4 linked regions of the Notamacropus eugenii genome follow. The protein of the gene in region 4 interacts with the protein of the main gene of each other region in a pairwise test. Links are inferred from orthologs where the notes say so. Each region holds a gene or a part of one and is shown on either strand. Other genes may lie near its edges. The genes, in order: KIAA1143, C4H22orf39, CABP5 and CEP76.

What was found.
Region 1: the proteins of CEP76 (region 4) and KIAA1143 interact in binary tests that used the Homo sapiens proteins (3 or more experiments, as listed by UniProt). The two-hybrid records come from large-scale screens. The link is inferred for Notamacropus eugenii from reciprocal best matches to the Homo sapiens genes CEP76 and KIAA1143.
Region 2: the proteins of CEP76 (region 4) and C4H22orf39 interact in binary tests that used the Homo sapiens proteins (3 or more experiments, as listed by UniProt). The two-hybrid records come from large-scale screens. The link is inferred for Notamacropus eugenii from reciprocal best matches to the Homo sapiens genes CEP76 and C22orf39.
Region 3: the proteins of CEP76 (region 4) and CABP5 interact in binary tests that used the Homo sapiens proteins (3 or more experiments, as listed by UniProt). The link is inferred for Notamacropus eugenii from reciprocal best matches to the Homo sapiens genes CEP76 and CABP5.

The regions. Positions count from the first base shown.
Region 1 is NC_092874.1:43,554,278-43,562,270, reverse strand, and holds the start of KIAA1143 (uncharacterized protein KIAA1143 homolog), read right to left. Parts: upstream 3,018-7,993; 5' UTR 2,916-3,017; coding exon of another isoform or gene 2,893-2,915; 5' UTR 2,820-2,892; coding exon 2,427-2,819; intron 1-2,426. Other genes in the region: kinesin-like protein KIF15, read left to right, coding at 2,893-2,911.
Region 2 is NC_092875.1:12,019,934-12,027,028, reverse strand, and holds the start of C4H22orf39 (synaptic plasticity regulator PANTS), read right to left. Parts: upstream 3,006-7,095; 5' UTR 2,947-3,005; coding exon 2,917-2,946; intron 1,940-2,916; coding exon 1,772-1,939; intron 730-1,771; coding exon 601-729; 3' UTR 1-600. UniProt on the Homo sapiens protein: Negatively regulates long-term potentiation and modulates adult synaptic plasticity. Stabilizes the interaction of RTN4 isoform A/Nogo-A with its receptors, inhibiting clustering of postsynaptic AMPA receptors at synaptic sites.
Region 3 is NC_092876.1:11,222,935-11,229,834, reverse strand, and holds the start of CABP5 (calcium-binding protein 5), read left to right. Parts: upstream 1-3,887; 5' UTR 3,888-5,104; coding exon 5,105-5,167; intron 5,168-5,993; coding exon 5,994-6,024; intron 6,025-6,481; coding exon 6,482-6,625; intron 6,626-6,900. UniProt on the Homo sapiens protein: Inhibits calcium-dependent inactivation of L-type calcium channel and shifts voltage dependence of activation to more depolarized membrane potentials. Involved in the transmission of light signals.
Region 4 is NC_092875.1:229,708,291-229,715,483, reverse strand, and holds the start of CEP76 (centrosomal protein of 76 kDa), read right to left. Parts: upstream 3,006-7,193; 5' UTR 2,741-3,005; coding exon 2,678-2,740; intron 2,630-2,677; exon of another isoform or gene 2,540-2,629; intron 1,236-2,539; coding exon 1,083-1,235; intron 1-1,082. Other genes in the region: PSMG2 (proteasome assembly chaperone 2), read left to right, coding at 3,353-3,409. UniProt on the Homo sapiens protein: Centrosomal protein involved in regulation of centriole duplication. Required to limit centriole duplication to once per cell cycle by preventing centriole reduplication.

The sequences.
Region 1 (7,993 bases), on a different chromosome or scaffold from region 4:
CTGCTTTGAATTTCTAATAATCTATACAATACCCAGGCCACGTTGAAAGATATAAAAATGAAGTAACTCTAAGACTGTCTGGGCTGTTATAAAAAAAAAGAATTTTCATTTAAATTGAGTTACAGCAAGGGAACATCTGTCTTCCAGCCTTTGAGAAATGTCTTTACTCAAAGATCTGACTAAACAGCCTACAGTGGGTGGGTGGGTGGCTTACATTGAACCATGTGAAGAGATGATGCTTAGCTCAGATGTTTTATGTCAGTCTATAGTTGGGTAGCTGGGAAGATGGTTAGAGTTCTTTGATACTAATGCCAAGGTTGAGCATTAGATCCTCACATGAGCCAATTAGGTTTCAGGTGTCATCCAGAGACAGATTCCTTTCAATCCTAAAAGCTGGGCCTTTGGCCACTAGGAAAGATGGGAATGGTGTGAATCGATTAATGCAAAACCACGAATGGGAAAATAACTCAAAATGATGCCATATTCGTGGTAGGCCAGTAATCTCACTAAAAGGGTCCTTGGCTTTAGATTGACTACTTGCTGGACTATAGAGTCCTTTGAAAAAGTCTCTTAATGGTGAATATTATTAATTTTAATTATTATGGCTCTGTAGCTTTGGTTTCCATCACAGAATTGCTCAGAAAGATTTCCTAGAAGGCAGTCAGAAAAAGAGGCAGTCAATTTGTGCCATGTGTATCTCTCCCTTCCCCTTTGGCTCACTGGTTACACATTTGATTATTTGGAGATACTGGGGTTTCAAGACTTCTCGTCTTGAAGAATACTGAAATTACTGCCTTAAAACCTATGTCCATCTTGGCCTCTACATCTTTGCTTGTATCATGCCCCTGAGTAGAGGTGTCTTTCCCTCTTCCCTATAGCTGAAATTCTCCACCTCTTTCAAGGCCTCAGGACTACTCCTACTTCCTCTATGGAATTGTCATTGACTATTCCCATCCTACTCAGTACTGAGTCTCTATCACAAATGTAGTTTTTAAGTACATTGTCTCCTGAAGTTAGATGAAATTCAGCGTGGCTCAAGGGCTGTTGTGTTTGTCCTTGTTTTCAAAGAGGACCATGATATCAGGGAAGTGATGACATGAACTGCAGTTAACTGATTTGAGTGAGGGAGGGCTGTGCAAGGTCATCAGCCTCACTCTCTCCTCCTGAGACATTTTGATCCAGTATGCAAGGAGAGACCCTTGCCCTCTTAGCAGCTTTAGAGGATCAAGGGTAAGAGAATAGTCAGGAAGACCCCAGTTAAAGTCCTGTCTCTTACGCATGGGGGCTGTGTGACCATGGGCAAATCACTTAAGTTTACAGGACTAAAACACTAAAAGTTTGGGGTGAGCACCTAGTCTAACCTTCTTGTTCTGGGTTCCAGGTTCTCAACTTCCTAACTAAATTTTTCTGGAAAAAGTTAATTTGAAAGTAGATTTTTTAAAAAAATTTTAATTTTTGCTGCTGGCCAGGCAAAACAAACTAGTTACAGTTCTGACTACCGCCTATCAAATACAAGTCCTATATTTGACACAAATCAGCCACATGACCATAAGCAGGTCAGTTAGCTTCTCAGATCCTGCAGACAACGCTTTAAGCTTCAGAGAGCAATAACTGGTCCAAATTTCGCCCCTTTCCCCCCAAGGACACTGTCCCCCTCGCCTTCCCTGCCCCCCAATCACCCCCCAAGAAGGCAAGGCAGCTCAATGGGCCAGGAGTCAGAAAGACCAGAATTCAAATACAGCCTCTGACCCTCACTAGATGTGTGCCTCTGGGTGTGTCACTCAACCTCTGCCTGCTGGCCTCAGTTTCCTTATGTGGCAATGGGATGAATAACAGTGCTGCGGACCTTCTAAAGCAGTGGTGAGGCTCAAATAAGATGACAATTGTAAAGCCCTCTGCAAACCTTAAAGTGCCACATAATATCCGGGGCCCCTTTCCTGTTACTGTTACCACTAAGAAGTGAGGGACCCGCCCTCAAGCAAGAGTGACAGTAACAATGTAACAATAACCAAAGCTTATGTAACATTTTTACAGTTGCAAGATTCCTTGCGCGCATCATAGTATCTCTTCTGATCCTGATAAACGTGAGGGGAACGGGGGGGGGGGGTGCTAATCTATCCCTGCTTTACAGACGGGGAAACTGAGGTAGACACCGGCAAAGTGAGTGACCTGCCCAGGGCTCCCGTGCCAGGAAGCGTCGTTGGAAAGACTCGAACTCGAGTCTTGCACGTGATTCACACTCCAAGCCTCCCCCTCCCCCCGCTGCCCTCGCTCCGAGACGGGGTGCTCTACCTCGGCTGGGGAAGAGAAATGCGCAACAGCCCACAGGGCTGGGCCAGACTCCAGAGCGCAGGAGCAACCGGAAGTGAAGGGGCCCAGGCGGAGTTTCCTTAGCGACTCGAGGGGCGGGACAAGTGCCTCCTCACCTTGGTTTCTACGGTGGGCCCCTCCTTGTAGCCAACCTTCTCCTTAAAGCGGGACAGGAACGCGGGCTCCGGCGGACGCACGTATGACACCTGGTTTCGCTTGCTCATGGTTTCTCTGCGAGGAAGCGGCCGGGGATGGAGACAGGCAAAGGGGCCCCGGATCTTATTCGTCTCCCGGAAGCGAGAGTACGCCTCCTCCCACGCCGGCCTCCGTACCCGGGGGCGGGGCCAAGGACTCGTCATCCGCGACGGTACCTCCTCGACACGTGATAGGGGCCCTGCGTCCTTCCGCTGACTTCCGCCCGTTCCATGGCGCTCCCATCGAGGCTTCCAGGGGCGTGCTCGCTCCGCCCCTTTCCGGCCGCCTAGCGCCAAATTCAAACACACCGCCATTTTGCTTGTACTGTAGGTTTCCGCTCTCCCTTAGACCCGGGGTTGGGGTTCACGTTTGGGGAGCGGGAGCGTGATGGCACCTGGTGTCAAAGGTGAGTGAATGAGTGTGTACGGGTTTGGGGAGGAGGGATCCTAGACTCGTCGCTGCCAGAGGCTGCGATCCCCACTTGGGGTACCTAGGCCCGCTGGACGCGGCCTGGACCAGAAGCCCCCGGGGGGGGGGGGGGGGGGAGGAGGGGAGGGACCTTCCCAGGCTCCTCCTACCGTGGCCGCCCCGTTAATTAGGTTGTAATTAACGCAGTGACGCGGTGTTTTACGGAATGCGTGACCCTGTGTAATATAGAATGCGTAACGAGTAATAATCTGAGGCTTGTAACGCTGATCAGCCGCGTGGTGCTTAGGTGGAGGGTCCAGCGGAGTCAGGAGGACGCGCGTTCAGATCCGCCGCTGCAGCCTGTGTGCCTCAGTTACCCCATCTGTAAAATGAGCCCGAGAAGGAAATGGCAAAGCACTCCACTGCCCTTGCCAAGAAAACCCCAGATGGGGTCACAAAGACTCAGGCCCGACTGACCAATAATCAGATGAAAGATATGGATGTATCAACATGTATACCAATAAAAAAATATATTTACAATGCTTTGCAAATCTGTAATTGCTACAGAAATGCCTTAATGATTATCATGATTACCAGTCTTCATTTTCCTTTGTTTTTCTTTCCTCACCTGTGAAATGAAGGGGTCCCTTCCAGCCTTAAATATGGGATGCTGGGTCCTGGTTGTGAATTCTGACTCAGTTTTCCTCGTTTGAAAAATGACAGAATAGAAACTGCTGAACCCTTAGGTCTAAATCTGACATCTTGAAAGGGCTGTTACACTTTGTTCTTGTTGTTAAGTTGGTGGAACTGTTTTTCTCTTTTTAGAGATGAGGAAACGGAAGCAAAGTAGAGTTTTAAAATATTGTTATTAAGCTTGATAAATGCTTTCACTAAACTATCTGTTGTAGGTTCACAGGTACTTAATTCAATTGAACACATGTACATAAAGCGCCTGATAAAAGGCACTGCTTTAGGTGCTAGAAACACAAATTAAAACAGAATTTGATCACAACTTCTCTGGGAAGTTTGCAGGAGGCAGGTGACCACTAGACTAGTGGTTTTCAAATTTTTTAGTCTCACCACCCATTTATACTCTTGAAAACTATTGAGAAGCTCTAAGAGCTTTTGCTTATGAGAATCCTATCAATATTTTTTGGTTTTTTAAAATTTATTTTATTTGTTTTCAGCGTTGTACAACCTCTTCCATATAACTTTGATTTTTCCCCCTCCCTACCCCTCCTTGCCTCTCCTTCCCTCCTCCATCCTCCTTTCCCCATCCCTCCCCCCTCCCTCCCTGAGACGTCATGTAATTTTATATAGATTCTACACATACATTCCTATTAAATACATTTTCACCTTGGTCATGTTGCATAGAAGAACTAAAATGAATAGGAGAAATCATAAGACATACCAAAACATAATACAAAAGAAAATGATCTGCTACGTTCTGCAATAGAATTCCATAGTTCTTTCTCTGGATGTGGAAGGCATTTTGCCTTAAAAGACCATTGGGAATTTTTTAAGTCCTTGCATTGCAGTGAAGTTCTCAGCCTACCAGAAAAAATCCTTGCACACTGTGGTTGTAGCTGAGTATAAAGTTCTCCTGGTTCTGCTCCTTTCACTCAGCATGAGTTCATATAAGTTTTTCCAGGCTTCTCTGAAGTCTTTCTGTTCATCATTTCTTATACTATAATAAAATTCCATTACATTCATATACCACAATTTATTCAGGCATTCCCCAATTGATGGGCATTCCCTTGATTTCCAGTTTTTGGCCACCACAGAGAGTGCTGCTATAAATATTTTTGTACAAGTGGGACCCTTTCCTATTTTTTTGATCTCTTGGGGATACAGTCCTAGAAGCATTATTGCTGGGTCAAAGAATATGCACATTTTTGTAGCGCTTTGGGCATAGTTCCAAATTGTTCTCCAGAATGGTTGGATCAGCCCACAGTTCCACCAACAGGGAATTAGTGTTCCAGCTCTCCTACATCTTCACCAACATTTATCATCATCCTGTTTTGTCATGTTAGCCAATCTGATAGGTGTGATGTGGTATCTCAGAGTTGTTTTGATTTGCATCTCTCTGATCAATAGTGATTTAGAGCATTTTTTCGTATGACTGTAGATAGCTTTGATTTCTTCCTCTGAAAACTGCCTGTTCATATCTTTTGACCATTTATCAATTGGGGAATGACTAGTATTCTTATACATTTGACTCAGTTCTCTATATGTTTTAGAAATGAGGCCTTTATCACAGATACTAGTTGCAAAAATTCTTTCCCAGTTTTCTGCTTCCCTACTCATCTTGGTTGCATTGGGTTTGTTTGTGCAAAAACTTTTCAATTTTATCAAAATTATCCATTTTGGATTGCGTAATGTTTTCTATCTCTTTATTTCATCAAAAGTTCTTCCCTTCTCCATAAATCTGATAAATACATTATTCCTTGTTCCACTAATTTGTTTATAATATCAATCTTTGTACCCAGATCATGTACCCATTTGGACTTTATTCTTCTATACAGTGTCAGGCATTGGTCTATGCCTAGTTTCCACCATACTATTACCCAGTTTTCCCAGCAATTTTTGTCAGACAATGAGTTTTATCCCAGAAGCTGGGGTCCTTGGGTTTATCAAACAATAGATTGCTGTATTCGTTGACTACTGTGTCTTGGGTACCTAACCTATTCCACTGGTCTACCCTTTTGTGTCTTAGCCAGTACCAAGTGGTTTTGATAATTGCTGCTTAATAATACAATTTGAGATCTCGTAGAACTAGGCCACCTTCCCTAGCATTTCTTTTCATTAGTTGCCTTGATGTTCTGGATCTTTTGTTCTTCCAGATGAATTCTGATATTATTTTTTCCAGCTCTACAAAATAATTATCTGATAGTTTGATTGGTATGGCACTGAATAAGTAAATTAATTTAGGTAGAATTGTCATTTTTATTATATTGGCTCGGCCCACCTACGAGCAACTGATGTTTTTCTGCTTACTTAGATCTGACTGTTTGTGTGAAAAATGTTTTGTATTTGTGTTCATATAGTCCCCAGGTTTATTTTGGCAGGTAAATTCCCAGATATTTTATAGTGTCTACCATAGCTTTAAATGGGATTTCTCCTTCTATCTCTTGCTGTTGGGCTTTGTTGGTAAAATATATAGAAATGCAGAAGATTTGTGTGGGTTTATTTTGTAACCTGCAACTTTGCGAAAGTTGTTTATTATTTCAAGTAGTTTTTTTACTTCATTTTCTGGAATTCTCTAAGTAGATCATCAAACCATCTGCAAAGAGTGATAACTTAGTTTATCCTTTGCCTATTCTAATTCCTTCAAATTCTTTTTCTTCTCTTGTTGCTACAGCTAACATTTCTAGTACCATATTAAATAATAGTGGTGATAATGGACATCCTTGTTTCACCCCTGATCTTATTGAAAATGCATCTAGCTTATCCCCATTGCATATAATGCTTGCTGAAGGTTTTAGATAGATACTGCCTATTATTTTTTGGGAAGTTCCATTTACTCCTATGTTCTCCAGTGTTTTCAATAGGAATGGGTGTTATATTTTGTCAAAAGCTTTTTCTGCATCTATTGAGATAATCATGTGGTTTCTGTTAGTTTTGTTGTTAATATGATTAATAATGTTAATAGTTTTCCTAATATTGAAGCAGCCCTGCATTCCTGGCATAAATCTTACCTGATCATAATGTATGATTCTTGTGATAAGTTGCTATATTCTTTTTACTAAAACCTTATTTAAAAATTTTGCATCTATATTTATTAGAGAAATTGGTCTATAATTTTCTTTCTCTGTTTTGACTTTTCCTGGTTTAGGTATCAAAATCATATTTGCATCATAAAAAGAATTTGGGAGGACTCCTTTTTCCCCAGTTTTCCCAAATAGTCTATATAGAATTGGAATTAACTGTTCTTTAACTGTTTGATAGAATTCACTTGTGAATCCATCTGGTCCTGGAGATTTTTTCCTAGGGAGTTCACTGATGACTTGTTCAATGTTTTTTTCTGAGATGGGGTTATTTAAATATTCAACTTCCTCTTCTGTTAGTCTGGGCAATTTGTATCTTTTAAAATAATCATCCTTCTCATTTAGATTGTCGAATTTATAGGCATACAGTTGGGCAAAGTAATTTCTTTATGATTGCTTTAATTTCCTCCTCATTGGAGGTGAGTTCACCTTTTTCATTTTTGATATTGATAATTTGGTTTTCTTTTTTTTAATCAAATTGACCAAAAGTTTATCAATTTTATTGGTTTTTTCATAAGGCCAATTCCTAGTTTTATTAGTTAAATAGTTTTCTTAATTTCAATTTTATTGATCTCTCCTTTGGTTTTCAGTATTTCTCATTTGGTATTTACTTGGGGATTTTCAATTTGCTCTTTTTGAGCTTTTTCTGCATGCCCAATTTATTGATCTCCTCTTTCTCTATTTTATTCATGTAGGCACTCAAAGATATAAAACTTCCCCTAAGAACTGCCTTTGCAGTATCCCATAAGATTTGGTAGGTTGTCTCATTACTGTCATTCTCTTGAATGAAGTTGTTGATTGTTTCTATGATTTGTTGTTTAACCCGCTCATTCTTTAGGATTACGTTGTTTAGTTTCCAGTTAGTTTATGGTTTATGTTTCCATGGCCTTTGATTACATATAAGTTTTATTGCATTATGATCTGAGAAGGATGTATTGATTATCTCTGCCTTTCTGCACTGGATTGTGAGGCTTTTATGGCCTAGTACATGGTCAGTTTTTGTGTATGTGCCATGTACCACTGAGAAAAAGGTGTATTCCATTTTTTCTGCATTTAGTTTTCTCCAGAGATCTATCATATCTACCTTATCCAGAGTTCTGTTCACCTCCTTAACTTCTTTCTTGTTTGTTTTGAAGTTAGATTTATCAAGTTGAGAGAGGGGGAGGTTGTGGTCCCCCGCTAGCATAGTTTTGCTGTCTATTTCTTCCTACATCTCCCTTAACTTCACCTCTAAGACTTTGGATGCTATACCACTTGGAGCGTATATGTTTAATAATGATATTGCTTCATTGTCTATGGTGCCTTTTAGCAGT
Region 2 (7,095 bases), about 220 Mb from region 4:
TGGCCCTTTGTGAGGGTCCTCCTCTGGAGCATGAAGTGCGTACGCCCCCCTTAGTGGGGGTAGGCATCAGCAAAGCCTGGCAGTCTAGTCTGGCCTCCTGTGTCCCTAGGGACTAGATGGGCCCTAGGTTCACTTGCTGCCTGTGTGGACAGGCCAGGGCATGGCACAGGCAGGGAGCCACAAGTACCCCACAGAGCAGCGGCAGGTGCTGGGCATGTTGACCAGAGCGGGGCAGGCAGACCAAGCCAGCATCATGGCAGGACCGAGACAGGAGGTGCCCTAGAGGTAACTAGAGGCCCAACATACCTTTCACACACGTGTGAGGGGGAGCAACCTGATGTCCCCAGAGCACAAGACCCTGGTATTCTGGATTCCCTCTTCCCAGTGGTAGGGGAGAGGGAACCATATATATTGCCATCTGAAGAATGTGCTGATCAGCAGCCAATTGGGCAGTGCCTAGTCTTTGAAGGTGATGGACTGGCTAGCTGGGCATGGAGAGCAGGAGGCAGAAAGGGGAGCTGGAGAAGCTGTTGGCTGGTGTGGGGTCAGGTCCACTCACTCCTTGATGAAGTCAGCCCATCTTCTCCATCACATGGTCCCTCACTGGGATTTCTCCTCCCCGGGCAGAGGCGAGTGCCAGTCCCTGGGGGGACTCTGCCTCATGGTCCACACTGGGGGATGCTTCTGTTTGGCCAGGATTCGGGCCTGCTCGCTCTTGCGGAGGGACTCCTGTACAAACAAGAGGCCGGTTCTATGCCCCGCCTGAAGGCCTAGGGTCTCACTGCTTCCCAGAAGCACCTCCCAGGGAGGCTGCAGAGAGCCAGCCCTAACTAAGGGCCCTTGTGGACCCGGGCCTTCTGGGTGTGTCCAGAAGCACAAGAGAGTCGGCTTTAACACTGCCAGCCGGGTGACCAGGGGCAATCTGCTGAGCCTCACTGTCTTCTAGAGGATAAGCCCCCTGAGGGCTGGGCTTGTGTTTGTCTTTGTATCCCCAGAAGCTGGCATACCGAAGGGGCTTAATAAGTGCTGAGTTGAATGCAATCTGTAAAATCGGCCCCTAAAGTGGCCCCGGGACTGGGGCTCGGCTACTGCTCAGCTGCCCCTTTAGAACCTTCACACCCCTCCTGCCCAGAAGGGTGCTAGACAGGCAGATGGCCCACCATCACTGCATCTGTTTTCCCAATTTTCCCCTCTCAAGACTGCAGACCCTCCCCCCAAGCCCTGGGGCTATGGACACAAAAAGGCCCTTTGGGCCCTTTCACTTCTCCAAGCCCCTTCCCTGGCTGCCCCCATGCCTGGAAGCCCCCAGCCTCAGCCCTGCTGCACTCCCGGTGGGTCCATTGGTTTTTCCATCCCCCTCCCACCCATGTTTCACTGGTCTAAACGGTCATTCATTCATGTCACAGCCCAGGGCAGGAGGCTCACATTCCCCTTTTCTGTGAATCTGGGTGACTGAGCTCCCACCGCTCAGGTGCAGACGAGATTCACCCACGCCAGGTGTCCCCACCCTAGGATCCTTGATCTATCCTCAGTGCCCTAGGCTTGCTGAGCTCTTCAAGCAGTCCTGGGGTCCCATTCCTTGGCTGATCCCCTCCCTGCCCGAGCTGAAGGTAAGGCCCAGACCCACTCCCCAGGGCTTCTCCCCACAGTCCCTGCCCCCCAACACGAGGGCCTCTGCCCCTGCTCCCCACAGCGACCTTCCCACCCGGGGCTTCCCCGGCTCTCTGCAGGATAGATGGGCTAACCAAATCCCGACTTTGGCCCGGGATACCTTGGCCTCGGGACTCCCGCTCTCCTCCCACTGCTGGCAGTGTTGGTAATCGCTTTTCCACTGGGCGCAGGCCGGGGTCTCCCCGTAGGTATAGTAATGATGAAGGAAGTTCCTCAGCGTCCGGCAGTGCTTCCATTCAGCCCAGTAATCCTCGCAGCTCCGGGGAGGCTGCAGAGGGGAAAGGCAGACACCAGGGAGGCTCAGGACGAGGGTCCCAGCCCAGGGTGGTCATAGAGGGGGTGTGTGGCCAGGGGCTGCTCCTCCCCGCCTGTCTCAGGGGCCCTCCATATGCAGTCACAGAAGAGCTGAGAGTTCTGGGTTTGAATCTTGGCCACAAACGCCTGCAGTGGGATTGCAGGAATGACTTGGGGCCTCCGGACCTCCCAGAGCTGACGGTAAGTTCCTCAAAGTCAGATGATTTCATATTTCTGCTTTTCTATCCCCAGCCCTAGCAGTGGCTGGCACACAGTAGGTCCTTTCCCAATGTTGGCTGAATCCAAGGAAGTGTTCTGAAGACTCAAGATAGCCGGCTTTTCTTCCCAGGTCCTCTCAGACTCCCTCAACTTGTCAGTTTCCCTCTTGACCCCGCCCCCAGCCTCAAGGCCAGGCCCCCAGCATCGACCACGCTCACCTCAGGTAGGCCCCGCCCACTACCTTACCTCCAGTTTGGAGCTCCTTAGCCTTATTGGAAGCTCCCGTCTCAGACAAGCTCCATGGGCTCCGCCCCTTCAAGTTTAGCCCCGCCCATCCGTGGCATTCTATCTCCACCCCTACAATCCACAGTCACTCCCACACTTAGGGTTTGGGCCCTCCCTTTAGGTTTTTTTTTCTCCCGGTCCCGACAACTCTCAAGTTTTTTCACCTCAACTGTCAGCCCCGCCTCCTCATACCTGGCCACGCCCTCCTCCCTCCTAGCTCCTCCCACCAGCCCATTGTCCCTCCCCAATCCCTGCCGCCCTCCTCCTCTCTTGCACAGCTAAGTCCCGCCCCTCAGCCCTTAGGCCCCGCCCCCAGCCTCCAGTCCTAGGCCCGACTCCCCCAGCCTCCAGGCCTGTCCGGCCTCCCCACCGGCCCTCGTCCTGCCCCAGCCTCGCTCCTGATCCCTCTCCCGGCCCCTGAAGCCACCCCCGTCCGCCCTCACGAACCCTCCACAAGCTCTCTTCAGGGTCGGCCATTTTGCAGCTCCTGGCCCGCCCCGCCTCTTCAGGGTATCAGCCAATAGGAGGGGTTAAGCCTCTTGCGGAGTGATGGACAGACCCACGAACCAATGAGCTCCCAGATCCAAGCAGCCAATCCTTTGGCCGGTGAGGCGGGGCTGGAGGGCTCACCTGCCCCGGGGAGCCCCGCGCCGAGCTGGGCTGAGGCGCCTGCTGCGGGTCTGGGGTCCGAGCCCAGCCTCGGAACCGGAGACTTAACTGGGCCCAGGAATCGTGTCCGTTCCGTGCGCTGGCATCCCGCCGAACTCTCCCCCTCTGCTTGAAGACTGGGTCTGACGGGGAGCTCACTCTTCCTTCTTCCAGAAACAGGGGGCGTCCCCTCCCCCCTCCCCCTTTGTCTCTTCCCCTCCGGATTTAGCCTTTGAATCGTCCCGCAGGACGCTCCGTTTCTCCTCTCCGAGCCTTTGCACTGGCTGTCCCGGATGCCTGGGATTCCCTCCTCACCTCGGCCTGCTTTCTTTCAAGGCTCCGGGGCCGCCTTTCACGCAGAGCTCGTCCTGACCCCCTTCCCTTCACACCCCTGCCCCCCGATCCCCCCGCGTTTACTTGGTGCACGACGTGCGTCTGTCAGTAAGAATCATGGGGCACCTACTATGTGCCAACGCCGTGCCAGGCTCCGGGGCCGCCCTTCGCTCAAGGGGCGCAGAGCTCAGTGGGCTGTGGGTGAGGACGAGGGTCCCGCTAATGCCCCCAGCTTGGATGCACTGCTTACACCCGGGTGTCTCCCCTGCTCCTGGCCAGCCTGCGGGTTGAGACCTCCCCGCAAAGAGCACTTGGCACGGTGCCTGGCACACAGTAGGAGCTTCTCTCCTCCCTCCCCCTCGCGGGGAGGAGATTCTGGTTCTGGGCAGGGTGTCCCCCACCCCCACTCCCCAGGCATCAGGATGGGGGGCATTCTCACTCAGTGCCACTAGGCAGGGGCATGGAGCGAGGCTAGCGGTCTGTGGTTCTGAGGCGGTCGGGAGTCCTGTGCCCGGCTCCCTGACAGCGAAGTCCAGCACTCTAGCTAATGGCCCCTTTTGCCCCTGTTTCTATCTCTTCAGCTCATCTAGAGAGGAGGGGGCTGGATCAGATGAGCCCCCCTACCCCCTCCGATCCAAAAGCCGGCCTTGGAAGGTAGGCCTGAATTCGGACCAGCTGCGGGCATCCCCTACCTGGACCCAGCCTCAGCCTTCTCCTCTGCAGAATGGGCTTATGTAGTGACAGCTGCTGCGCCCCGCCCAGGGTGGAGACCTTGGCAGGAGCAGTGACAAATCTCCAGGCCTTAGGGAAAGGCTGGCTTCAGTGATGGCCGTGGAAACAGGGAGCCAGCTTGGAATAAACAAGGAGACTGTCAGGGGCTCCAGAGGACCCTGACCCCAGACAGAGCTGATGGAACCCGGGGCAGAGTGAGACAAAGACGCTACTTGGGGACATGGCTAAGGACATGGCCTGACTGCCCACGGTTGGGTCTTGTCTGGGGTTTTCTTGGCAAAGATACTGGAGTTTCCTTATCCAGCTTATTTTACAGATGAGGAAACTGAGGCAGACAGGGTGAAGTGACTTGCCCAGGAAAACACAGCTAGCACGTGTCTGAGCTAGAATTGAGCTTTGGTACTCTGACTCCAGGCCCAGTGCCACTTCACTGCCCCTCCATTGAAATAGTTATCAGAGAAAAAAAATTAAGTTCATAGACCCCAGGTTAATAGACCCCTTTGGCTTAGTGCTAGGGGGCCTCTCAGAAGCATATCTGAAAGTACTCCACACTGGGTACAGTTTGGACAAGTCCTGATGATTCCCATTTTACAGATGAAGAACATAAGGCTGGGGAGAAAAAACACAGCGTTAAGTCAGAAGGGATGCTGGCAATCATTCTAGAGCCAAAGAAATCAAGGCCGAATGGTGGTGACCTCTCCAAGCTTCTAAGGCACTGAACAGCAGGACTGGGCTAAGGATGCCAAAATCAGAGCGAGGAGGAGGTGCTAGAATCCCTCCTCATTCTAGCCTTCTCTAGTGACAATGACAGAGGCCTCCATGAGGGGCACTAAAGCTTGCCTTGGCACACAAACAATGTAGCTTAGAGGAAAGAGGAACCAGCCTGGTGCTATGGCAATGTTCTTCATTATCTAATCATCAAGGTTCAGTTAAGTCAAAGCTCCTGAATGAGGCTGCCACCTAGAAAGCCTGCAGGCCAGGGAGCACTGTCCTTCAGCAGGGGCAGGTGCCTCCAGTTGACTGAGGGGCCTCTGGCTCCCATGGGGGTCTCACTGCAGACTCTCAGCTCCACTTAGCTTTGAACACAGAACCCCAGCAAGGCCTCTTTGGGCCCCAACTTAGAGATGGGATCATCTGTTCCAGCACCAGGACTCAGGACTCCAAGAAGGTGCATGCTGCCATCTGCTGTCCTCTAATGAGTAAGGGGCACATTGTCCCTACTCATGAAGACCTTTGGTGCTCTCCCTACACGTGGGCCTGCTCAGCTGTTCCCTTCTCTTTTGGGCAGAGGTTTAAGGAAAAGCACAAGAGCAGGTCACCACCCCACTTGATTAACATGGCCAAGCTTGGCTGCAAGGATTAGGCCAGGCCCAGCGATCAGGAGCTAGAAGGAACTGAGCACAGTTGGAAGGTCCAAAAGAATCTCTCTGTAATCTCTGTGGCCTCTTTCAGTGGCTGGGGCCACTGGATGACAAAGCATGACTATGTGCTATGCAATGCCCCTCACCTGGCACACAGCAGGGCACTTCCTAAGAGATCACTGGCAGAAATAAAACTGATGTGGCGCAGGGGTCAAGGATTCCCTGTTCTCCTTTGTGAATGCAGATTCCGAAGGAACCTTCCAAAGAGGGATTCAAAGAGCTGGGCCAGGATGTTGGAGACCCCACGGTTGTGCTAAGGAATAGTATGGCTAAAAAACCAAAATCTCATAAAGACTAGGAGTGACCTGCATGAACTGATGCAAAGTGAGGCGAGCAGAGCCAGGAGCACATTGTACACTGTACTGGCCACACTGTAGCAGCGATCCGCTGCGAATATAATGACCCCAGGCCATTCTGGGGGCCTCATGGTGAAGGTGCTGTCCACCTCCAGAGAAAGAACCTGGAGCCTGAATGCAGATGACAGGTGCTTTTTCTTTACCGTCTTTATTTTTTGGTTTTGTTTTTTGTTTTCTTTCACAGAATGACTTGCATGGAAATGTGCTTTGCGTAACTACACACATACAATCTATGTCAAATTGCAGGGCTGGAAGAAATTTGGAACTCAAAATATGAAAAAATAGAATGTTAAAATTGCTTTTTTAATATAATTGGGATACAAAATAAAATTTTTGAAAAAAGCAAAGAAAGCCAAGACCCAAGTCCAGATGAACTGGAGAATCTAGAATATGGCAGTCAGTCCTCTTGTCCAGCCAGCATGAATGAGGCCCAGAATGTTTAGTCAGGCCAGTCATAAAGCCACACTGACCATGCTGACGAGAACCCAGGGAAACCTCAGCAAACCTCAGCTCCCATGTTTGGTGTCCCAAGGCTTTACAAGCATTGGAGGCAGTTGCTACAGAACATATTTATTAAGGGAACACAATGACTTTCACTGTCAGCCTCGACAATGAAGGGGCCGCCAATTATTAGCTTCTTTCTGGGGGCTCTGTAGCTTGGACAAATCAAGAGAAAACACCAGGAAGAAACCCTTTCTAGGGTGACCACTGTGGTCCATGGCACAGAGTGGATCGAATGGCATTTCTAGGTGGGGGATAAGAGAGGACCAATGGACAGAAGGTCCCTGGCCCCTCTAGGTGTGGACCATGCTGTCCTTCTCCGACCACGTTAGTCAGAGATAAAGGACCCATGGCCCAGACCGAGCCAATGGAGGGCTCGGTCCCCCCAGCTGCTGGGGGCAGGTGCAGAGGGCTTGCCTGCTGCCTTGGTGACTTGGAGACAGTTCAGTTTGGCTGGTCCTTTCCCAGAAAGCACACTGCCACCAAGTCCTGAAGCTTCCTGGGCTAGGCAGGGGAGGTATTTCTTAAGAAACTCTAAAGGAAACGAACAGCAGGTCATGAAATATCCTCTGGTGAATATCTTCTGTCCCTGACAAATCTAGTAACTAAAGTCAAGAGATTGCAATAGATTATTT
Region 3 (6,900 bases), on a different chromosome or scaffold from region 4:
TGGGTTAGCACTCTTGGCTGGGCGTCTCCAGTAGCAAAGCAGTACTTCCACCACCCCTCAACTAGGAGCTTACACAGAGGTGGGCTGCATGTCAGAACCACAGCCACAGACCTGGGAGGAAATGAATTTTAACTCTGCTGTCCTAAAGCTATTGGAAGAGTGGTGTCTGTCCATGGTGTTTAATGCCTCCCATTCCTTCCCCCAATCCAGACAACCAGACTAACCATGCCCACTGATTAGCTTGACTGAGAGGAAGAAAAGGGCTTTGTTGTTGAGATGACAAGCATGTTTTAAGCACCTATTATGTGCCAGCTGCTGTGCTAGCAGTGGTTAGAAAGCTCCACCCTTCCACAAAAACCCTTTCCTAGCCCACCTTTCTGCTACCTGCCCCCAGCCATGGGGGCACTTCATCTTCCAGACTTAATCCAAATGCTGATTTTGATGGTTTTTAGCTATTGCTTTATAGGAGGGTGAGGCAATCACAAGGGACCCAAGAGTTTGCCCTTGGATCTCTGAGCACCAATTTTTGGCCTGAGGTAAAGAAAAAAAAACTTCTTAACAATTAAAGGTAGACCAAAGTAGAACAAGCTGCCGTGGGAGGTGCTGGGTTGCCTCTTTCTAGACAGAGGTCTTCAAGCAAAGAATGAATGGCTATTGTTGGAGATGGAAAGGGGCTTCTATTTAAGTGCAGGATGAATTAGGTGGCTTTAGAGTTCCTTCCAGTACTGACAGTCTGTTCCATGAAAGGACAGAGCACTGGTATGTCCTTTATGCCTTCCTTTTCAGAGAAAGATGGAAAACAGGTTGCATTGAATGTCATTTTCTGGCCTGGCCTAACCATATTGCTTAAGGGCCCTAGAGGGAGGTCAGGTCCCCTGAGGGAGTCTCTGGGGATTAGAGATCAGATCAGAGTCATGGATTGAATCCAACACTGTACACTTCTATTGCAAAAGATGTAATGACAACCTTTATCCCTTCATACCTCCATCTCCGGTGAGATAGAGAGATGATGATTGAACTGGAATCAGAAAGGATTTTTGTTCCCTCCAACTCCATGGAAGTCTCCTCTAAACTTGTTCTAAGGAGAGATATTGGGTTCCATTTTATACTCCCAGGGCTTCCAGTTTGTCTTCCCAATCCAAAAGATTTCTTAACCAAACAAGGGATAAATAAAATAGATAATTTTGCTTACATGAAGAATGGAAATTGAAAGCCTGGGAAAAAACTTTGCATCACATTTCTGATATGGATCTGGTAGTTAAGATAGTTAGGGAACTAGCAAATAAAAGAGTAAGAGGAATTTCCTCAGTGAAAAAGTTCTCAGCACCAAAGTCCTTGACTTGAGTCAATGGTTTAACATCAGAAGCATATATGATTTATTAATAAAAGTGACATTAGAAGAGATGCCATCATGCACCAAGGACCACAGAATTCTTCCATCTGACTTGCAGCTGCAACTCCTACAAATGTGCTCTCCCTTTGGTAGGATGTGAATTCAGTGAGGGCAGAGCTGGCTGGCTTTTCTGTTTGTGGAGCTTAGCACAGTCCTAGAGTGGATTTTGGTGAGCTTAAAGCTGTGTGTTGAGAGCTGACATAACTGACTCCATTTTGTCCTATATTTACAACTTTTTGCTAAGTGATGCCTCAGCCTGTGCTGCAGGGACAGTTTAAAGCAACCTCTCTTCTTTAGCATTTCCCTTCCTCTAATTGCTGTATGTCTGAAACAGAGGACTCGGAGGATTTGGACCATTCAAAAAATTGACTCTTCTTTATCTTACCTGATAAATGAGGTGTTATTCTCTTTGAATGAGTGGGAATGTCAATGCTAACAAGGACATGTTCCTTCCCTTGTAATTAGTGACAAGCATCTTCTCTACTGACTGAGTACATCTCCTAGTTTCTTACTCTTCTCTGGCTCCAGTAAGGACTGGGGATATGAAGAAAGGCATAAAATAGTCCCTGCTGTCAAGGACCTTACAATCTCATGGGAGAAACTATGCAAACACCAATGTACAAACAAACTATACACAGAATAAGTTATGGGGAGGGGAATCAAGGAGAACCTTCTGGGCCTGGAAAGGTGTTAGCATCCATATGCAATGGAGGAAACCAAGTCCCTTTGAGCAGCACTGAGTTATCGCAGGGGATGATGGATGGAGGTAGGTCAAGGGCTTTACTTCTAGCCTCATACAGCTGCTGGCTTTTACTCAAAGGGCCAGTGATCCAAACACCCTCATGTCAGCTTTTCTTACCCAGTACAAGGGTTAGAACTGGTCCCTGCTAAAGTCAGGGGTAGCTGCTACTGCTCTCTTGACCCAAACCTAATGTTTTTCTGTACAGTCCTGGGTGACCAGACTAGCCTCCACTTGCAACTCCAGTATTACACATTCCTCTCTCTTCTCCCTGTTTCTGCCAAACTTAGAGTCCCAGGATAGAGACACACAGAAAACTAGAGAAGATAGCAAGACACAGAGAGGGACAAGGAAATGAGGATATAAGGAGTTACAAAATGAAACGTGGATGGAAAAATCTAGACATAGCCTAAGACACTCAAGAGAGACAGGATGATATGGGGAGACAGAAACAGAGACAAAGACAGCCTGAGGAAATGGCTAAAGAGCCAAATCAATCAAACAATACATCACGTATTTATTAAACACCTTCTGGGTGCCAGGCACTGTGCTGCCTACTGGAAATACAAAGAGAAAGTGAAACAATTTCTGCCTGCAAGGAGTCTACATTCTATGAGGGAGATAACATCTACCTCTGGAAGTATATATGCCCTGAACAAGTCCAACTCAATGCAAGATAGTTTAGGGAGGGAGAGAGCTAACAGTTGGCAAGGTCAGTTAATGCTTCAGGTAGAAAAATAGTGATTGACTGAACTGGAAACAAAGTTGATGACAATGGATTGGGAAATGGCTAGACAAACTGGTCAAGGAATGCGATGCAGTATTACTGTCTGTAAAAAATGGTGACTGAAGAACCTAGAGAAGTGGGGAAAGGCTTGTATGAACAGATGCAGCAAATCAGTAGAATCATGATATGACAATGTCCATGGAAAGAACTACAACAGCTAAGCAACTGAAATGGAATCTTGCAAAATTCTGATAAATTTATCCCCAAAGAAGGAATCTGAGAAGGCACTTTTTGCAGAGGTGGAAGCCTCTCCCCATCTCTGCCTCTTGACTTTCCTGACTTTCTTCAAGTCTCAGCTAATGATCCACATTCTACAGGCCTTTTTGGTCCCGCTTTACCCTTAACGTTTTCTCTTTCTTGATCATCTTTGATTGGTTCAATATGTGTCTTATTCATACACAGTTGCTCACATCTCACCTTGCCACTGGGACCTCTGCAAGCAGAGATTTTTTTCACTATTTTTTATCCCTAGTGCTTAGCACAGTGCCCAACAACACATGGTGGGTGCTTACCAAATGCTTCTTGACTTGAATCATGCTGTATCATGTCAGCTATATGATATTTTGGAGAAGGGGAAAGGCAAAAAAAAGAAACATTTATGGAGCACTTACTATGTACCTGGAGCTGTGCTGAGTGCTTTTACAAATGTTATCTCATTTGATTCTCACAAAAACTCTGGGAGGTAGGTAACTTATTATCTCCATTTGACAAATGAGAAAACTGAGACAAACAGAGGTTAAGTGATTTGTTCAAGGTCACCTAGCTGCTAGGTATCTGAGTGGATATTTGAACTTAGGTCTTCCTGACTCCAGGCCCAGCACCCTTTACACTGAGCTACCAGCAACTTCTATGCTACTTGGTTTTACAAAAGTTTCCCTCTTCCTCTTTTTAAAATTCTTTATCATAAAAAAGATGGCTTTCTGAGGGAGGTAATTGAATAAGAGTTGTGAGTTCTATGGAAAGAAAAATTGTCAATAAAATTTTAAAAATGAATATAATGCTTTATTGGAGTCTTGGAAGTCTTAGGATGTATTGGAGGAGTACAGACAGGGGAGACAGCTTGGGTGAAGGCACTGGGGAAAGAAACAAGGAATCATGGGGAGAGGAGAGAGAGCCAGAGAGAGACACACACAGACACACACACACCCAAAGAGAGAGGAAGAGAGAGAGAGGGAGAGACAGAGACAGACAGACAGACAGACAGAGACAGAGAGAGACAGAGAGATAGAGAAAGAGAGACAGAGACACACACAGAGAGAGACAGAGACAGAGAGAGAGGAAGTGGTATAGAAAGATCCCTATGGGAGACAGGGACAAAGATGCAAAAGAGACAAAGAAACAGAGAGCCAGAAGTGACAGACATAAATAGAGATTTGAGAAAATAGAGTGACAAATGGCCCAACAAGGAGAAAAGGACCAGTATCAGCATTTCTATTTCCAGATGGAACATCTGGCTCATTGTGTCTGTCTATCATGACCATTGCCCCTAAAAAGGCCTAAGATGCCCCTGCCATAGGGCATCTGGTCATTGAGGTCCTAATTGTTTAGGCTGGGAAACTGATGCTACAAAAAGCCAGCCCGTGACCTGCCTAGGATGATTTGGTGGGTCCATGCCCCCGATTCTTCACACACTGTGTCCCTCATGCCCAGTTATAATTGCTCTACCCAGGAATTCCCTGCCACAAATCTGTTCTGGGGATAAGAGCCAAACTGGGATGACTTCCTGCCCTGCAGCAGATGGAGAGGCCAGGCCCACCTGTCTCTCTCCTCCTCCCCCAAGCCCCAGAGGAGCCTGGGTCCCAACTGTCACTCTTCTTCTCCCCCCTGCCCCAGAAGAAACTGTGTCCCAGCTGTCACCCACTGGATTCAGAGACTAAGACTGAACAGAGACAGAAGCAGAGACAGAGACAGAACAGACTGAGGGAAAAGAGATAAAGAATAGAGAAAGAGGGAGAGATATACAGAAACAAACAGATTAACCCACCAGAAGACAGCTCAGAAAGACAGCAAAGAGGAGATACAGAATCTGAAGGGACCAAAAACAGAGAGAGAGAGAGAGACAGAGAGAGAGAGAGAGAGAGAGAGAGAGAGAGAGAGAGAGAGAGAACCATAAAAAGAGACAAGAGGAGGGCTGTGAGCTGTGAGACCTCTGCAAGATCCTGCATCCTGTTCCCTCTTTGGCCCCATGCAGTTCCCCATGGGACCAGCTTGCATCTTCCTGAGGAAAGGGATTGCGAAGAAACAGAGGGTGAGAAATGGATGGGGAAAAAGGAAAGAAGGAAGGGAGAAAAGATAGAAATGTAGATCTGGAAATGTAAGGCAGCTCAGAGGCCCTCTAGTCTGGCTCCTTCATTTCATAGATGAGGAAACTGAGGTTCAGGTAGATATAATGGAATATTTGTAAAGAAATATTTGTAGAGTTTTGCAAACCTTACAACACTATGCAGATGCTTGGTATTACTAATAGAAAAACTTGGCCAAGATCTCACAGGTAATAAACAAGAGAACGAGATTTGATCTCAAGACCCCTGATTCCAGTAGTCTTTCCTCTGTCCCATGCTGGAAGGAGATGGAAGAACTTGAGAAGAGAAAGGAAGCAGAAGGAGGTAGAAAGTTAGGGGGAAAGGCTAGAGGAGAAGGAAAGCTTAGAAAAGCATGAGGAAGAGGACTGAGGAAGGAGGAGAAAGCAGTTATAAGGAGCTGGAAGAGGAAGAAGAAAGTTGAAGGAAAGAGGTCAAAGAGGAAGGAAGTAGGTGGATGGCAGGTTGGGAGAAATTCTCATCCAGGTGAAGGAAAAGGAAGGAAGTGGAAGAGGAAAGAAGGAAGATGTTGTCAAGGAAGGAATAGGAAAGAGAAGATGGGGAGGGAGCAGAAGCTGGATGAGCGCTGAGGGAGGGGTTGGTGATCCCAGCAGGGGCTGCCAGGAAAGAGGATGTGCATGAGAGGGTATGAATGGCCTCCAGCTCCTTCTTTCAGGACCCTGGAGAGAGCCTGAGGGTCACTGAGTAGTCCTGAAAAGGATCACTCCTGTCCCTGCATCTACCCATCACTCTTTCCTCCTGTACTTTCTTCAGGATCGTCCACTAGGACCAGATGAGATTGAAGGTAACCTCCTTGCCCTTCTCCCTCCCCTGTAGTCCCTCTGAAGCAGCTCCATCAGACCCTCTTCTCTTGCCATGTTCTCCTTACTCCTACTCTAACTGCTGTCAAGGAAATGGTTTCTTGCGATAGCTTATCCCCACCACCAGTTCCCCCAACTCGGTCTCTCCTGGTAGTTTCAAGTTCCCATTCACTGGTGGTATTTCCCCAGAAATTTTAAGTCCTGTAATTTCAATGATTTTCAGTTCCCATTTATCTAAATCTACCTCCATGGCAGTGTCAGGAATTCCCAACTGTCTTTCATTGACTCTGGGAATCTCACCCCTGCCCACTCCTGGCTAGTTTTCATCAATGCCTCTTTTAGAGGCCAAGTCCTGTTCCCAGGAGGAGATCTTGCTTTCCCCCACTTTGTTGGTTTCCAGGCTTCTTATAATCTCCTTCCCATTTCCTGACTTTCTCCTAGAACTTCGGGAAGCCTTCCATGAGTTTGACAAGGATCGAGATGGTTTCATCTCCTGCAAGGACCTGGGAAACCTGATGAGGACTATGGGTTACATGCCCACTGAGATGGAGCTGGCCGAGCTGGGACAGCAGATCCGAATGAACCGTGAGGGTTGGGGTGGAGCAGGGGAAGATGGGGAGGGCTAAAGACAAAATGATGATACTCTTAAATTTCTACAGCTCTCAAAGGTTTTCAAAATGTTTTCCTATCAGGTAGACAATGCAAGTATAGTTTTCGCCATTTGACAGATGGGGAAACAGATTCTGTGAGAGAAATGGTTTATCCAGAGGTACACAGCTAGGGAAGTGGAAGAGCTGAAATTCAAACCCAGGCTTTCCAAATTGGAGTGCAGGGTCCCTTTTATGGCTCTTGAGGGAGAG
Region 4 (7,193 bases):
AAACCTAGTTTATTTATGAACCAGCATAATGATTAAGTCTTAAAGTTCTGGAATAACATTTAAATTTTATACACCCTACAAAGAGAATTTTGATACCTTTCCTATTATGAACTAATTTTAATGAGGTAGTGACAATTATGCAGTAGGAACTGTTATTAGGTTAATTACAACAAATGGGTTCATTAGTTTTAGTCACCAAAAAAGTAAGTTGTATTAAAGTACTTAGTCTCTGGTGTATTATCAAGATCATCTCAATTCCTTTAACACATTACCAAGTAATTTAGGTCACAGTTTCTCATTTTATGACTTATTTTTACAAAAGAGGTCTGGTCACCATCACTATTGCATTGGGAATTTGTTATATCACTAAATGACCTATTTTTGCCAATTGATTTTATAGTACTAAAGCAGTTCCTGAATTATTCTTACTTAAAGAAATGAACAGCTTTATTTTTAGTTACTAAGACTGTTTCACAAAAGGGAGTTTGATGTCAACAGCTAAACTCATTTAAAAAGTGGACTATAGCTTGATCTTTGGTTTACAAAGTTTGTAAAGTCATTTTAGAATCAAAATGAAAAATATGTAGTGGTCAGACTAAGTTAGTAATAGGTTCAAGTCTAAAGACATAAGAATTCAGGGAAGGCTTGCCTGTGATGAGAGATTGTTATAATTTTATTAAAAGAGCAAGTTAGGTGAGTGTGACAGCCAAAGAAACAACAACAAAAAAAGTATAAGAATTGTTCCAGGATGCGATGCTAAACTAATTTGCCTAAAACACAACCATTTTCATAAACATGTCTGAAGGATAAAAATAAAAAATTGTATCACTTTGGGAGATGGGAATTTTTTTACCCAATAGCAATACTGTGGAACTACACTAAAATACTATTTACCATAAAGCAGAATTCATTATAGGTAAGTATTAACTAAAGAAAGGATGTTTAGTTAATAAAATGCTAAGACAGATTTTTAGGGTGGTTTTACCTACAGAGCAACTCCTTAACATGAACCTTGGATGGTCCAGTGTTATAGTAAGGTTCCAATGTATTTACAGAGTTGTTGTTTCTAAAAGATTACTTACACTAACAAAAGTGAGCTCCTTCATGACATCATCTACGATACCTCGGCGTCTAAGGGCTTTTATTAAATCTTCTGTTGAAAGTTGTTGCTCTGGTGCCAATTCTTCTCGTATAGTTTCAGCAAGGACTTCTCTTATCCTGCCATGGACATCCATCTACATAGAGAACTTAACATTATATTTTTTCCCTTCTATATAGCAACCCATAAATTTTCAATAGATATAATGATAGTTAAACATTACTAATAAACAGGTTTGGTTTTACAAAGGGATATACAGCAGTAAAGCAAAAATAAGTGGAAAAAATATAGAATAAACACCCAAGTTTGAATCTTGGCCTTTCCACATTGATAATAAATAGACTATGTAACAATTTGGTTAAAAAAAAAGAAGCAATAATAAAAACTGATTCTATCACTTACTTTTTAAGAATTTAAAGTTTAATACTAGTTAATGGAAATATTTACTATCTTTTACTACTTGGAACCTTCATCAAAATTTCCCCACTGGTATTCAGAAAATTGAAACATCCTTTCTTTTGACTCAGCATCTTAAACACCAAATTGTTCCTCTAGTGCCAAGGCAGCACCCTCAAGCGATCTCTTTACCTCTTTTCTAATGTTTCTTTGCCCCCAACGAGCCTATGCTGCTGCATCTCTCCCTTAATCTCTCTGACCAGAAGGCAGATACTTTCAAGTTCTAGTTTTCGCCTTTATCTCTGGGCTGCACTGCTCATTCCAGCTTTCAGTACTTGCCAAAACTTCGGCAGCATGACCATATAAATCTGATGTTCTTTAAGTACACATTGGTCTCTATCTACAACAGACACTCAAAAGTTTACCAGAAAACGTCAATCATATAGATCCACATTAGGAAAGTGTATGCGTATGTGTGTATCTGCCTTGGTCTTTTCATAATTAATAACAGGGCTCTATTAAAAATAACTCTTTGCAGAAAATTAAGGACCAGTAAAAACTGATCCTGTGTTTGTACATAGGCATGGATGTATGTGTATGTGAACGTACATTCATATGTACATGCACACACATAAAATGAGAGTTCCTAAACTCATTCTGACTTTGGGGGCATCCTCCACATATACACAAACATATATCATAATATGAATACCTACGCATAATTTGCGCCTATGTATTTCATGCTGCCCAGAAAGCTTGTCCTTCTATGAGATGTGCAATCGCACCTCTCCCTGTACTTTCTTACAGTTACCGAAATAGAGAAACGAGCACTTCTGCCCAGTAAACATCGGAGGGCCTGGATCCCCCTCGGATCGTGGGAGCAAACCCAGGCCAGACCTGCCCCGAGCCCGGACCTCCGCAGCCCCAGCGGGCGCATCCCCGGGGCTCGCAGTGCTGCCCTGGACAGCTCCCGCTGCCTCGAGGGCGCTGGTTCCTCCCGAGGTCTAATCGCCAACCTTCCCAACGTCCTCGCCGGGCGCAGACCTTTCTTTAAGCGGCCAGAGAAGAGTCCTCGGGCGGGCCGAGCCCCGCAGGGAGGCGGGCGAAGGTGGCTGTCTCCTCCGCCTGCCCCGGGGTACCGTCAGTGCGCGCAGGCCCCGCGCCCCGGGCCGCTGCCCTCACCTTGTTGAGCTGCTGGTGGATGAGCTGCTTGAGCTCAGACGCTTTCTCCGGCGGCAGAGACATGGTGAAGCCGGCGGCTCCACTGCCACTTCCCCTCCCCTTCCCTCCTCTCCCGCCGGGAGCTCCAAACGACCCGCCCGCCGCGCCCCGAGGTATTACGCTAAGCCGGGACCCCGGGCAGGCCGCGCGCCGCCTCCCCGCGCAGACTGCCCGGCCGCGTAAGCGCCCCACTCTGGGCGGGAACCACGTCCGCAACCCAGGCGACAGGAGCGGGCCGCAACTGTTTTCAAACTGCGGCGGAGAGAAAAGGTGCGAGGGTGCCCGCCGTACTGCCTGATTCCTGTCTGCCTGCTTTTCGCTCGCGCCTTCTTCTTCCAATCCCTCCTCCCCACATGGCTTTCCTCAGTTTTCCCACCTCCGCCATCCACCTCCCCTGACGGGATCCTCTCCCCACCAGTGCAAGATCTGGCCACGAGCGAGACAGGCGTTTGGCTAGGATAGTCCTGCTCCGGGCCGGCGCCGACGGAGAAGAAGGACCCCGCCCCGCCCCGCCCCTTTCCTCTAGAGCCCGGAGCTGCGTCCAGGGGCTGCAGAGCTGGCGCGCTGCGAACAGATTGCCTTTTGTTGTACCTCGTAATTCTCCCTCTTGTCCGGCTTTCTGCCTCCGGGGTGACGATGTTCGTTCCCTGCGGGTCGTCAGAGCCCGACTTTACTGGCTTCACCCTGCTGATGGTGAGTCTCTCCGCCTTAGCGGGGCTCTGCGGGCGCGATGTGCCGAGGTGGGACCCAGGACCTGGTACGGGGCCTGCACGCGCCTGTGAGCCGTGGGCTAGTCCGTCAGCTGGCATTTATTAAGCGCCTGCTGTGTGCCAGGCCCTATGCTGAGCGCAGGGCATGCGAAGAAAGAAGAAAGGCAAAAGATAGGCCCGGCCTTCCAGAAGCTTAGGGTCTAATAGGGGAGAGGACAGGCAAGCAACCATGTACTGAAGATTTGGCCAGGAACAATGGGGGACCATCACTAGAATGGAGGAGGACTGGACAGGCTTCTTCTAGAAGGTGGGACTTCGGCTGAGACTCGAAAGTAATCAGGAAAGCCATGGAGGGCGGGTGGGGGAGAGCACTGCTGGGAGATGGAGAGTTGTGAACGGTGGACGGCCAGGACTTCAGAGGAAATGGAGGGGAGTTTAATGAATTAAAGAGGATTGTGAAGGTGGAAAGGAGCCGGATTATTAAGGGCTTTGATGACTAAAGCAACCTGAACAGCTTCCAGCCCCTACGTCAAGCTCACCTGCAGGTCTTAGTTAGGATCACAGATTTAGAGCTGAAGGACCTTTAGAGCCCAGCGAGTTCAGTGGTTTTACAGATCAGAGAAAAGACTGGGTGAGAGAGGTGAAGTGACTTGCCCAAGGTCGCACAGCTGGTAAACGTCAGGATTCTAATTCAGGTCTTCCTTATTCCCAAATCCAGCCCTGTATGTGATATACCATGCATATCAAGGAGGAAATAAAAAGGTCACCTTGGACAGTTTTCATTTTGTTTATTCATTTGTCACAGCCCTTCTACATTAGCCACTTGTTGAAGTTTCCTTTTATTTATGCTCTCTCCTTAACCCCTCCTCTTGGAATTCCTGTATTCCTTCAAGGCTCAGTTCAAGTATTGTCTCCTTGAAAAAGTCATTATTGAATTCCACCCCTAATTACTCTCTCCTTGAAATTTCTTTAATATCTTTTTTGTATTTACGTTTTGAGGTACCTGCTCTTTATTCTCTCTTTCCCAATAGAATATAATGTCCACTTAAGTTCCTAGACAGAGAGAAAAGTTATTTTTCTGTTTCTTTTCCATAATTGTCACTAGCTGTTTCATAAGAAGGAAGATAAGATATAGGCTTATAAGATTTCAAACTGGAAGAGATGATAAAAGTCATCCAGTCTAATCTTCTCATTTTACATATTAGGAAGCTAAGAAGCAGCTAAATTTAGTGACTTCCTTTAGGTCTTTCAGGTAGTAAGTAATAGGACCAGAATTCAAACCCAAGTCTTTAGACTCTGAATCGAGATGCTTGGACTTGTATTTATAAAATTGGTTTTTAAGGATAATCATCTCACTTGGGTAGAGGCAAAAAGATCCTTCTAAATAGCAGTTTAGCTACCTGAACATGCTTCCCAATCCTTGATGGAGGAGGATAGAGTGGAAAGAGCCCTAATTCTGGGTTAGTTTGGTGTCCTTAAGTCAATCACTTGAGCTCTTTAGACCTCAGATTCCTCATCTATAAAGTGGGAATAGGGGAGCACCAATGTTAGATGATCCCTAAGCTTCTTTCCGGCTCTAATATCTTTATTTGTCTCCCTCTCTTCATTATTGCTTGATTTTTTGCTACTGTAGTTCAGTCTTCTGTCTGTACTAATGTCTTCTAATTGGTCTCTCTGTATCCAGGCTTTTACCCTCTTCAATCTTGTCCCTCGAAGCTGCCAAAATAATGTCAGTTGGTTAATAAGCATCTGTACTGTGTGCCAGTCACCGTGCTAAATGTTAGGAATACAAAGAAAGGAAAAGGCAGTCCCTGCCTTTGAAGCACTCGTCTAAAAGTGGGAGTGATCAAACAAACAAATATGTACAAACTAGTTGTATTCAGGGTAAATAGGAAATAATTTAAAGAGAGATGGCATTTGAATGAAGAGAGATTGGGAAAGGCTTCTGGAGAATGTAGAATTTTAGCTAGGATTGAAGGAAGCCAGGGAAGCCAGGAGGTGGAGATGAGGAGAGAGAGCATTCCTGGCATAGAGGACAGCCAGAGAAAGTGCCCAGATCTGAGAGATGGAGTTTTTGGTTTGTGGAACAATAAGGAGGCCAGTGTTACTGAATTGAAGAGTATTTGGTGGGGCAGGGGAAGGATAAGGTATAAGAAGATTGAAAAAGTGTGGGGAATAGGGGTAGGAACTAGGTTATGAAGGGCTTTGAACACCAGAGAACTTTGTGTTTGACCCTGGAGGTTACAGGGAGCCATTTGAATTTATTGATGGGGCGAAGAAGGGAGTTTGACATAGATTGGCACTTTAGGAAAATCACTTTGGTGGCTAGATGTAAGGTGAAATAGAGTACAGAGAGACTTGTGGTCTGTTGCAGTACTCCAGGTATGAGATGATAACGGGCTGGACCAGGGTGGCAGCAGTGTCAGAGGACAGAATGAGATGGATTCAAGAGATGTTGCAAAGATAGTATCAACAGACCTTGGCAACGGATTGGATATGGGGCTGAGGATGACTCTTAGATTGTGAGCCTGAGGGAAGATAGTGTTACCCTGGACAGTAATAGGGAAGTGGGAGAGGGTTTAGGGGAAAAGACAATGAAAAATAATCTTACTGAAGCATAGCTGATCATGTTACTCTCCAGCTCAAAAACCTATTGTTTCTTGGGTAAAATATATACTCCTTACCTGCTATTCAAAGCTTTCAGCATTCTGGCTCTGTCTGCAACTCTAGCCTTGTTTCATGATATCTTCCTTCATGTACTCTCTGTTAGTCAAAGTGAACTTCTAGCATTTCCCCTCCTCTGACTCTGTCCTTTACCTCTGTTTGCATAAGACCCTGTCATCTCTTCCCCTTCTCCCATCATACCTGGAATTCACTTCCTCATCTCTGTGTTTCAGAATAGTCTTACCTAGCTTACTGAGACCTGGGAAAGACCTTAGCTTAAAAAGGCCAAGGTCTCCCGCTGCACCTTGGGCCATCTCCGGTCATCCTGATCTATATCTTACCACTGGACCCAGATAACTCTGGAGGAGAGATGAGGCTGGTGATTTTGCACAGCCTTCCCTCACTTAAAGCCAATTCACTGTAAATCAGGACATCACCTTCCTGATGTCATTGGTCCTCTTCGAGAACAAAGGACAGATAACAGTTCCAAAATAATGGTAATTATGACAAATGAGAACAGGCAGGACTACTCAATTCCTATTTTACTTCTGTTTTCTCTTCTGAGGAGAATGAACTTTGCCCTGGACATGAAAGGATGAAAATGGCTAACAGTGCTGATGGCCCAGAGAAGTAGTGAGTAGTAAGAGACCACCTAGTTGCCTTTTGATGTATTAGGGTCACCTGATCCAGATGAACTATATCTTCCATACTGAAAAATTGACAGATGTAATTGTTATGCCACTGTCAGTATTATTTGAAATATTGTGGAAAATGGCTGAGGTACTAGGTTTAGAAAAAGGCAGATATTCTAATTTTAAAAAGGGGGCAGGAGGGGAAGAGAACAAGCATCTACTGACTATACAGGCCAGTGAGCTTAACTTTGATTCCTGGAAAAATTTTCAAATAGATCATTAAAGAGATGTTTAATGAACATGTAGAAAAAGAAGCAGTGATTACAATGAGCTTACATAGCTTCATCAAAAATGAGTCATGCAGGTGGATACTTTATTCTGTACTAGTAGATCAGGGGAGTGTTATAGGTTTATCTAAATTTTAGCAAAGTATTAGAAATGTCTCATACTAGCCTTATGGAAAAGATGGAG